Diceros bicornis minor: one gene and its partners. The protein of the gene in region 2 interacts with the protein of the main gene of each other region in a biochemical or structural test. Links are inferred from orthologs where the notes say so. Each region holds a gene or a part of one and is shown on either strand. Other genes may lie near its edges.

Region 1 (3,291 bases), on a different chromosome or scaffold from region 2:
CAGTGACCCCCAATCTCTGACAGTCTCCATCTTCTACCCCACATATTTTCCCTTACTCACTGTACCCCAGAACCCTCACTTTCTGCATATCTAGATACCCCCAATTCCTTCCCCTTCCCACTTGTGGGGGCCCCTCAGTCTCTCCCATGGACTCCAGGACCCCTACTCGTTTTTTGCATGATGGGTCCTCCGGCTCCTCCCCGTCTACCCTTTTGATCTCTCCCCCTCCTCATTTTTCCTGGGTTCAGCCCCTCTCGTGAAAATTCCAGTCCCCCAACCTCTCTGTACCCAGGACCCCCGTCATTCCTGAGTCAGGCGTATTTTTACCCCTCCCCCATCTACTCTACTTAACCCTCCCGTCTCTTCTTTGTGGGGTCTCCGGTGTATTCTCAGTCCTCCAACCCCTTTCGGATACTCTGGGTCCCTCAGGCCTCTCCATGGACATCCTGGGATTGGGACCCCCCCCCCCCCCGCGCGCACACACTTGCTCTGTATCAGTTCCTCGTATCCCTTATCGCGTACTTCAGGGGGATCATGCCCTTCCTGGAGCCCCTCCCCGACTGCCCTAGCAGCCCCTTCCTCGCGCACCCTGGGGTCCCCTGAGCCCCTCCCCCTGCAGCCGCGCCGAGCCACCCAGCCCGTGGCCGCTGTTTACAAGGACACGCGCTTCCTGACAGTGACGCGAGCCGCCTCCTCCCCTTCCCCACGCTCAAGGGGGGGGGCGCGGGGGCCCGGCTCCAGCAACGGCCAATCGGGGCGCACTTCCGCAGCTGACTATCGCGGTATAAAGGCGTGTGACTCCGACTGAGCGGCTGGGACCTTGAGCGCGGCCAGGCCAGCGTCGGAGCCAGCGGGGAGCGGGGAGCAGGGGGAAGCGACACCAAGAAAGCGGGCGCGCCAGAGAGGGGCAGAGGAGCTCGAGAAGCCGCACAGAGCTTCCGCGCACAGCCGCCGGCTGGCGTCTCCCGGCCTGTTCCAGCCCCTAGGAACGCGCGTCCAGACGCCCAGTCCAGCCACCGCCGCGGACAGCGAGCCGCTCGCTGCAGCGAGGCCCGGGGCGGCCCCGCAGGGACCCCGCCAGACCGCCCGGGCCGCCCGGATGTGCACTAAAATGGAACAGCCCTTCTACCACGACGACTCATACGCAGCGGCGGGATACGGCCGGGCCCCGGGCGGCCTCTCTCTACACGACTACAAACTCCTGAAACCCAGCCTGGCGCTCAACCTGGCCGACCCCTACCGAGGTCTCAAAGCTCCCGGGGCGCGGGGCCCCGGCCCAGAGGGCAGCGGTGGCAGCAGCTACTTTCCCAGCCAGGGCTCGGACACAGGCGCGTCACTCAAGCTCGCCTCATCGGAGCTGGAGCGCCTGATCGTCCCCAACAGCAACGGCGTGATCACGACGACGCCCACGCCCCCGGGACAGTACTTTTACCCCCGCGGGGGTGGCAGCGGTGGAGGTGCGGGGGGCGCGGGAGGCGGCGTCACCGAGGAGCAGGAAGGTTTCGCCGACGGCTTTGTCAAAGCCCTGGACGACCTGCACAAGATGAACCACGTGACGCCCCCCAACGTGTCCCTGGGCACCAGCGGGGGGCCCCCGGCCGGGCCCGGGGGTGTCTACGCCGGCCCAGAGCCGCCTCCCGTCTACACCAACCTCAGCAGCTATTCGCCAGCCTCAGCGCCCTCCGGAGGCGCCGGGGCCGCCGTCGGGACCGGGAGCTCGTACCCGACGGCCACCATCAGCTACCTCCCACACGCGCCGCCCTTCGCCGGCGGCCACCCGGCGCAGCTGGGCCTGGGCCGCGGCGCCTCCACCTTCAAGGAGGAACCGCAGACCGTGCCTGAGGCGCGCAGCCGCGACGCCACGCCGCCGGTGTCCCCCATCAACATGGAAGACCAGGAGCGCATCAAAGTGGAGCGCAAGCGGCTGCGGAACCGGCTGGCGGCCACCAAGTGCCGGAAGCGGAAGCTGGAGCGCATCGCGCGCCTGGAGGACAAGGTGAAGACACTCAAGGCCGAGAACGCGGGTCTGTCGAGCACTGCCGGCCTCCTCCGGGAGCAGGTGGCCCAGCTCAAACAGAAGGTCATGACCCATGTCAGCAACGGCTGCCAGCTGCTTCTTGGGGTCAAGGGACACGCCTTCTGAGCGCCCCCGTACAGACATTCCCCCAGCCTGGACGGCTGGGCGCACGCCTCCCACGGGGCGAGGGGGCAGGCGGTGGGCACCGGACCCGGAGCCTGGGGACGCCGCACACCACACTGGACTCCTGCCCGCACGCTCTGCGCTCAGTCCTTCCACCTCGACGTTTACAAGCCCCTCTTCCACATTTTTTTGTATGTTTTTTTCTGCTGGAAACAGACTAAGTCATATTGAATATAATATATTTGTGTATTTAACAGGGAGGGGAGGAGGGGGCGATCGCGGCGGAGCTGGCCCCGCCGCCCGGTACTCAAGCCCGCGGGAACACTGGGGAGGGGACCCCCGCCCCCTGCCCTCCCCCCTCTGCATCGTACTGTGGAGAAGAAACACACCCTTGGACTCTACAGAGTTTATTTTAATATGTGTTTGTGTGTGTGTGCGTGAGTTTGTCGTTCCCACTTTTTATTGAATCTATTTAAGTAAAAAAAAAAAATGGTTCTTTATTAATTTCTGTTGTCTTTTTTTCCAAGCCGGGCGGGCGGAGGGAGGAGAGTACTGGGCTGCCCCCACCCCACTGCTGTTTGTGGCTCGCTCCTGTATCCGGGTTCCCCTCGCCAGCTCTGCCCAGGCATCTTGCAGCTCCAGCTCGAGCGTCCAACCCTACTCGCGTCCGCTGATCTCTGGGGTTGGAAGGTCCAGGGCGGGGACGCGGTCCAGCCGCCCAGCACCAGGGGGCAGAGTGCCCCGGGCGAGGCGCGCAGTGCGCAGGTGCGGCCCCGCCCAGCCGCGCGCCGGGGCTTTCCCCGCTGACGCAGCGGAAGCGCTGCCCATATTTGGGCCGATTCTGCCCAGTGACGCGCCGGCGGTCTCCGGGCAGATTCCGGGAATCCCCTCCCCCGCTCTGCCCGGCAGGGCCGCGGAGCCGGGAAGGGGGCCGGGATTTTCCCAGGCAGGCGGCTGCCGGGACCCGGAAAGCCCCAGGCCTGGGTCCAGAGCGTGCGCGGTGGGCGGGCCGCGCTCCTGCGCCCCGGGAGCCACCCCGGAGCCTCCCGCATCGGTCTGGCGCCCGGGCCCCGCCGCGCCCACGCCCGCCCCGTCTGCCCGGACCCGGGCGGGGGGTTGCTGCTGCCTGCGCGCCGTTGCCGCCGCGGTGC
Region 2 (3,747 bases):
CTCCCCCCACCCCATCCGTGGCCCTCTGGGCTTTTCCCCCCTGTGTCCAGCCTCCTTGCCTCACTTCCAGCTTTGCTTATCCAATAAGCGAATCCGGAATACCCAATACCCTGGCCTCTGCCATCATTTCATACGTTCCCAGGCCCGCTGGAACCCAGCTGGGCCGGAGGGCTGTGGGAGATGACTCAAACGGAGGTCGGGGTCAGCGAACTCCAGCCCCTAGGGGCCCTCATCACTGCACTCCCCTCCCCTACTTATGAGCCTGCCCCTCTCCTCTCAGGCAGAGGCTTGAACCCTGCCCCAAGCGCACCCGCCTGTCTAGGCCTCCTCTGTCACTGACCGGCCGGGGACACTTGTCTGCACATGGCCATCTCCTTGCACCCGCTCCGTTCAGATTGCTGGCGGCACCCCTAAGAACCCTTTCCAGGGAGCGGCGGCGTCCGAGGCCCCCGCCTCCCCTCCCCAGTCGCTCGCGGCCGCGCCTCCTCCTCCCGGGAACCACCCCGCGCCGTCGCCCGGGCTGTCCCCACACCGACCGGCTCCGTCCCGTCCAGGCCGCATCGCCGCTGCCACTGCACGTGTAGCCAGAGGCCCGGCTCCTCGGTCCCGCCGGCCCCCTCTCCGCCGGCTCGCTGTCAGGCCGCGGCACCGCGGGCCCCGCGGGCTCGACGGACACAGCGGCGCGCACCCCGCCTGCGGCCACAGGGCGCCGGCCAGCCGAGGCCGCGGCCCCGCCCCCGGCCCGGCCCGCCCCCCGCCGCCATTGGCCGCGACCGCTCGGCTCTCCGCGCACTGATTGGCCGGCGCGCGGGTCGGTCAGGCGGGCACCGCGGCGGCGGCGGCGGCGGCGACGCGAGCGGACCGGAAGGGTCGAAGCGCTCGGCGCCCCTCACACCCACGGCGACGGCGGCGGTGGCGGGCGGGGCGGCGGAGCCGGGGCCGCGGAGCCGCGAGCGGCCAGCGCAGCGCCGCCAGTCCGCCCGCCCGCCCTCTCCCCGGCACGGCGGTGGAGAGGCGAGGTGAGCCGGCGGGCGGGCGGGCGGGCGGGCGGCTAGGCCCGGCGGGGGCCGCTCGGGGAGGGGCCGCTCAGGGAGGGGCGGCGGGAGGGCGGCGCGGCGGGGGCGGGGGGCTGGGGGCCGCGGGCGCTGGCGTCGCCCCTGAGCTCGGCCGCCGCGGGCCCCCGCCCGCCGCTGACAGCGGCCCGGGGCTGCGCGCTCGCCGGCCCGGCGGGCAGACGGCCGCGGGTCCATGGGCGCCGCCCCCGCCGTGGGGCGCAGCCGCAGCCCCGCCGGGATGCTCAGGGCCCGGCCGGGCGCCGACCCTCACGGCGCCCCGGTCTCCCCCGGACAGGCTTGCGGACAGGGTTGTTGTCAGGCTCGGGGAAGGTGTGTGAAAGCGCTGGGCGGGAGCCAGCCCCTGCGGGTGCTAGTGTGGCAGGAGCCCCCACCCGCGCTTCTCCGGGGCCTCGTCATTGCCCACTCGGTGCCCAGCGACGCCAGAGCCGGCGTGCCCACCTCCCCACCACTCCCCCACCCGGAGCACCGCACTCCTCTGCCACCCGTCTTCTCCCCCGCCTTGAACCTGTGGCCCCGTTTACCTCAGGACCTTTGCACTGACTGTTTCCAATGCTTGGAGTCGTCGCCCGGATCTTTGCACAGCTGGGGCTCCTGCTGGTCCTTCCTCCGGTCAGACGGCTCCTTCTCTCTGAGGCCTTCCGTGACCACCCTCTTTCTTCTCGTAGTCCTTCTGTCTCATGTTGGTTAACTTTCCTCCAAGCATTCACTCAGGTGTGAAACGACTCTATTTATGGGTCTGTTTATTTTGTCTCCCCCACTAGGATGTAGCCTTATGAAAACAGGTAGTTGTCTAATTAGTCCACTGCTTTATCCCCAGTGCTTAGAAAGCCCACAGTAAGTACTCAGTAATACCTGTTCACTGAGTGAAGCAGCCACTCTGCCTGCCTGCGGCCTCTGCTCTATCTGTCCGTGTAGTGACTCATGAGTGACGAGTGAAACTTGTAAGCGGATGGAAGCTGGTTCTCGTTTTGTGAAACATTTGAATGTCCTTGACCCCTTTATTTGGTAACTGTCAGAACAAGCTGTGATATAAACTTACATTTCTGTAGCGTTGTCGCTCTAACTTCGCACGTTCAAGAGACATTGCATTATCTGGGTCAGGCTTTCTGCTTGACCCTGAGGACACAAAGGCAATACAACAGGGTCCCTTCCTCAGGAGAGCCCAGTGGAGAAGGCAGACGTGCAGACCTTCGGTGCCAGGACAGAGTGCCACTCTGCGGTGGAGGGGCTGTGCCCTGGAAATGAGGAGGCCACCGGTGGTACTGGAGTCGGGCCTTGCGTGGTGCTGAGAAGTGTGCCAGGCGGGGAGAGGCACAGAAAGGGGTAGGGCAGGGCGAAGGAGGGACTTGAGCCTGGTGTGGGGTTGGGAGTTGGCCTGCAGGGCCAGGTGTAAGACAGTCCGGAGTGGTGGGGACCCCGGAGAACCAGACCTTGCCTAGCGTTTTTTAAAATGCAGAATTCTAGATTTGTATCTCTACTCTCCTGATTTTTAAATATTGGCAGTAGCTAATTAAAAATTTTTTCAGGGGCCGGCAGTGGTGCAGGGGTTAAGTGCGCGCGCTCTGCTGCGGCGGCCCCGGGGCGGCCCCGCAGGTTCGGATCCCGGGCGCGCACCAACACACCGCTTATCAGGCCATGCTGTGGCAGCGTCCCATATAAAGTGGAGGAAGACGGGCACAGATGTTAGCCCAGGGCCACTCTTCCTCAGCAAAAGGAGGAGGATTGGCATCAGATGTTAGCTCAGGGCTGATCTTCCTCACAAAAAAAAAAAAAAAATTTAATGCCACGAGCTGAGCAAAATACAGACCTCATTCAGTTTGGCTGCAGGATTGTCAGCCTCCAGGGCAGGTTCGTAGGAGGGAAGAGCTGCAGTGAGCTGGAAAGGTAGCCTGAGGCCAGGGGAGCTAGGCCCTGCTTGTCCAGATACTCTCCTTTAATTGTCACTGGAGCCCTGTGAGGAGCACCTATGAAACCCATTTCTGCAGAGGAGGAAATGGAGGCTCACAGAGTTTCAGCTGTTTGCGTCACAGCCAGCAGCTGGAAGGTGAAATTTGAACCCAGGTCTCCCCCAGATTAGCGTTCTTTCCTAGTCCCTCAGCTCTAAGTATTCTCTTTTGGCTTTTAATTTGTTCTGGAAGAACAACATCTGATCTAGATAATGTTTTCTTTCATTTAACCGTTTTTTTCCCTTCAAAAGGATACTACAGGGTTAAAAATAATCCTATTTTGGTATAGTCTTCTCTGGAGAGCTTTTAAATTTTCCTGAGAATTTTCAGGATGCCAGGACTTTAAATAATTTGTTGATGACTAAAATGTGTTTATATGGCCCCCCCTAAATAAATGTTAGGGCGTACACTTCAGTTTGTCTATTTAAAATAAAATTTTAGTTTTCTGGATAAAGAAAAGTGCCAGGTGAAGCAATTAATAGTGAGTAAAGCAATTGTTTTTATGGTGCATAAAGTAAAACAGAAACTACATTTTTTTCTTAACGCTATTGATTCAGCAGTAGGGCAGCTATTTTTGGTCTAAATATGTAGTTATACTTCACTCCTGGTTAAGAAGGTGACATTTTTACTTAATTTTCCTTAAAAATAATTAAATTTGTACTTGGCCTTTTGTGATTGTGTGAACTAGTTTCAACATCAGTCTTGATTTTAACTGTTTATTATGA
Region 3 (3,747 bases), on a different chromosome or scaffold from region 2:
AACAGAGCCGTAAATGTCCACACCCGGGAACCGAACCTGGGCCACCGAAGTGGAGCATGCTGAACTTAACTACTATGCCACTGGGGCTGGCCCAACTTGCCTTTTTTTTAATAGTTAATGCAAATTTCCACAGAGGCTCCTGATCATACTTTTCAACTTGTGCCAGTGTGTATTTATTGAAAAAGCAATATCCCTACACTTAACACTGAAATCTTTAAGTTGTATAGAGAATCGTAGAGCAACATTAAGAAGAAACATTTTCAGCAATGTACTTCTTTCTGTGTTTTTAGGAGTGTCTCTATGTCAACTGCAGAGTAGTAAATATGGTCTTTTTTGTCCCTCAGGTTAAATTAACCAAATAAACTCCCCCCTCCTTCTTTTTTCAAAGAGCTACTTTCAAAGCTTCACAGACATTTCATTGGCATTATATTGTGGAAAGAGTGCCATTTCTATGCCATAGTCTAATTTGGTGTCCTTTGGTCCTCTCTAAAATGTTAATACAGAGTTGTGGATGTTTTAAAGGTTTGAAACTATCTCTACTAAAATTGATATTTTTAAATGTATAACTACTAAGTAAACGAAAATTGATAAAATAGGATTCACCATAATATGGAAGATTTTTCTCTTAAAAACAAGCCTTGCGCTATTTTAAATTACAGTAATCTAGTGGAAGTCACTGTATTTCCTTTTGGTAAGTTACTTAGAACATAACTATATGCTAATATCATACACGGTACTAGGCGTTTAGAAGCCGGAAGAATCAGTCCCGTTACAGTTTAGAAAAATTCGAACAAATGCCATTCAGAGTAATGGCTTTTTCTTTTCTTTTCAGAACTGACTTATCTTGCTTTCCCGCTTTGGGCGTGTAGCGGGGGTTGGGGGATAATTTCCGGTAAACTCCGCCTCTTCCAAACCTCAGCTTAACCGAAGCTCCCCTTCTCGGGCTGCAGGGTAGCCAGAAGACGGGTTTAGGCGCGCGCCTCCCTACGCTTTACCCGGCTTCCTACAAGGGCCGGGACGTGACAGCAATGGAAATACCGAGCTCCCGGGGAGGGACTCGGAGGACTCGTCCCGTTTTCTCTCCCGCCACTAGCAGCATTCCTAGAGTTCACTTTCCCTTCCCGCACACCGTCAGGCCCTTCCGGCGACCTCAACATCCACCTGCTCCAGCGCCCGCCTCAAGCGGCTGCCAATCACAGGCTTCCGCAGGTCCTTGGTTACGGAGGACCAAGGCGCTCTGGTCCCGCCCCCTCCAGAACTGCTTCCCGCCCTTCGAGCTGTTGTCCAATCACCAGCACCGAGTGTTCTTTGGTTCCCGCCCCCTCAGCCCCGCCCCCTTGAAATCCCGCCCCCTCCTTTAAACCTGACGGACTCGCTTGACCCGGAGGCGCTTCGTCTGAAGTAAGACAAGAAGCGGCGTGTGCGTGGAGGGCAGGGACTCGAGAAGAAAGGGGGGATGCCGGGAGTGGGGCGGGGAGAAGGAGGTGTCAGTCCGATCTCGCGAGAGAGGACGGAAGCCTGTGGGAGCCCGTGGCCTTTAAAGTGCGGTTCAGCCTTTCCTCCACGGGTAGTTTGTAAACACGGCTGAGCTCGGGCCTCGCCGGTGACCGAAAGAAGCATGAACTAGTGACCTAGAGAGGTGAGTAGTCATGGGGAGTGCGCCGCAGGACTGGAGACCGTAGGGATACAGAGAAAGAAGGCACTAACATGGCGACGTCGCTCACCATAGTCCCCACCCCCCGCTTCCTATCACCTCGGGCGCGCCTGCTTCGGTGCCTAACCCTCGAGGCGACTGTGGCTGAGCTGGCACTTCAGCGGCCGGCGCGGCGTCGCCTTCAGGAGCCCGACTGGCCGGGCCGGACCGTTAGGTAACGCGTTCGTTGTTCCGGCCCCTCCCCGCTCGCGCGCTTTCCTAACGAAGAGGAAAGGGGAATAACGGCTCCTCTTAGACCCCTCCTCCCGATTGATCTTCCCCTTCTCCGGTCAGTTCAGAGGTCCCTAGGGCACACGTCGATGCGCCGAGGGCGCAGGGAGACCCTCTCTGCAGTCCTTGGATTGAGCAGGAAGAGGGCCGGCTCTGGTCTCCGCACCCAGGACTCAGACGTTGGGGACTGTGTGTGTGTGTGATGGTGGCGGGGAGGAGGATCCGGAGGCGCGGCTGGAAATAGGGTCAGGGTCTCTGGCTGCGGTGAAACGTGATGGAACAAATGGTATGGAGAACTCTCGGCCTTTTCTGTCCTTTCTGCCCCCTCACACTCCCGCCACCCCCGCTTTATCCCCGTGGGCGGGGCTGAGGTGTGGGTGCAGATTGATTCTAGTATTTTCCCCCATTCTTTTACCTTCCTGGGTGGACTGCAGAGCTAGTTGTAGGGACCAGAGCAGAGAGAGGGACAGAGATCTATATTCGCTCGTGGAACCGACGCTAGAAGGAGGGAGAGGGCGGAGGAGATGGGAACTGTTTTTGTGCCCTTAGGTAGTATGAAATTGTCTTTGCTTAAGGAGTCTTAAAACTGGTGAGGCCAAGATCAAAACTACTGTGAATGTGATGGAGTAAAAGGGAGTACTCCTGATGGACCCTAGGCCTACTGACTAATTCCTCAATTAAAATGTGAAAGTTAACAGTTTCTTAGGAATTTTAAATAATGGAGACGGTAGCAGTGCATAAACTTAATGTATATATTTGAAATAAGCACACTTTTTTGTCCCATTTGAAGAAATTCATAACCGCCGGCATTGTCAGTAATAGCGTTTCTAGGTGTAATCTTTAAATAGCTATTTATCCTTGGTCTGTTGTACCAAAACTATGAAGGCGAGAAGCTTGTTAAATAGCCCTACAGGGTTAAGTGTCCTGAAGGACACAGACAGTAGCAGTTATATCTTGTAATAAAATTTGTTATACTGATTTGAGGAATCCACTCTGAACACTTTTTTCAAAACTGCAGGCACATAGTTGTAAAGTATGCTCAAAAAATAGAGATGTCCTTCTGCAGATCAAGAAAGAGAATTAAGGAAGTTCGTGAATCTTTAAGGCCGTCAATAAATGAGTAACAATTAAGAATCCTAGTCTTTGTGACTTATAAGAATCTTCCAAATTTACAGTGGTGTGTATGCTGCATGCCTAAGACATGTTTAATCTTGCTTTGAGAGGATGCGACTACCATTAGGTTTTTAATTATTTGAAGTATAATATTGTGGTAATTTAGAAAGTAGGGTTTGTATTTTAATTAGTAGGACAGGAGCTTTCAGGGACTTTTGTAGGTGTGTTTTTAAGGTAGATAATTCCTGGTGAGGATCTGATTGCATTTCCTGGAAGTTCTTTTTTAAATACCTTATTAGAAGGTGTATTTCATATTTGGGGCATTATCATTATCTATTAAATATATAATTCAGAAATTCCTGAATTTACTTTTTTTACTTAGAGTATTTGTTTCATATTTTTAAACTAAGATAACAGTAGAAATGATCATGTCAGCTCTTTAACAAATAATTTGGAGGTATGCTTTTTGTTGCTATTCAGGATTTGAAAGCTATATGAATATCATTTAAAAAAATGATATGCTGTACATCAAACATCTACCTATAACTAGCATTAACTCTCAAGAAATCATCTACATTTTTTCTGCCTAAATTTTTGTATTTTGGAAAAGTTGGGTTTTAATGATTTATATGTTCTCTGCTGGTGAATTAAATGTAGATCAGGTAAACAGTCCCCCATACATGCTATTTCCACTCATTTTGTCTTCAAGC

What was found.
Region 1: the proteins of MAPK9 (region 2) and JUNB form a complex in vitro, tested with the Homo sapiens proteins (2 studies listed by BioGRID). The link is inferred for Diceros bicornis minor from reciprocal best matches to the Homo sapiens genes MAPK9 and JUNB.
Region 3: of the proteins of MAPK9 (region 2) and ATF2, one has a biochemical effect on the other in vitro, tested with the Homo sapiens proteins (4 studies listed by BioGRID and IntAct, with this or other methods). The link is inferred for Diceros bicornis minor from reciprocal best matches to the Homo sapiens genes MAPK9 and ATF2.

What each region holds. Positions count from the first base shown.
Region 1 is NC_080769.1:4,564,210-4,567,500, reverse strand, and holds JUNB (transcription factor JunB), read left to right. Parts: upstream 1-801; 5' UTR 802-1,099; coding exon 1,100-2,143; 3' UTR 2,144-2,644; downstream 2,645-3,291. UniProt on the Homo sapiens protein: Transcription factor involved in regulating gene activity following the primary growth factor response. Binds to the DNA sequence 5'-TGA[GC]TCA-3'.
Region 2 is NC_080740.1:93,220,551-93,224,297, reverse strand, and holds the start of MAPK9 (mitogen-activated protein kinase 9), read left to right. Parts: upstream 1-912; 5' UTR 913-1,019; intron 1,020-3,747. UniProt on the Homo sapiens protein: Serine/threonine-protein kinase involved in various processes such as cell proliferation, differentiation, migration, transformation and programmed cell death.
Region 3 is NC_080749.1:55,977,027-55,980,773, reverse strand, and holds the start of ATF2 (cyclic AMP-dependent transcription factor ATF-2), read left to right. Parts: upstream 1-1,505; 5' UTR 1,506-1,639; intron 1,640-3,747. UniProt on the Homo sapiens protein: Transcriptional activator which regulates the transcription of various genes, including those involved in anti-apoptosis, cell growth, and DNA damage response.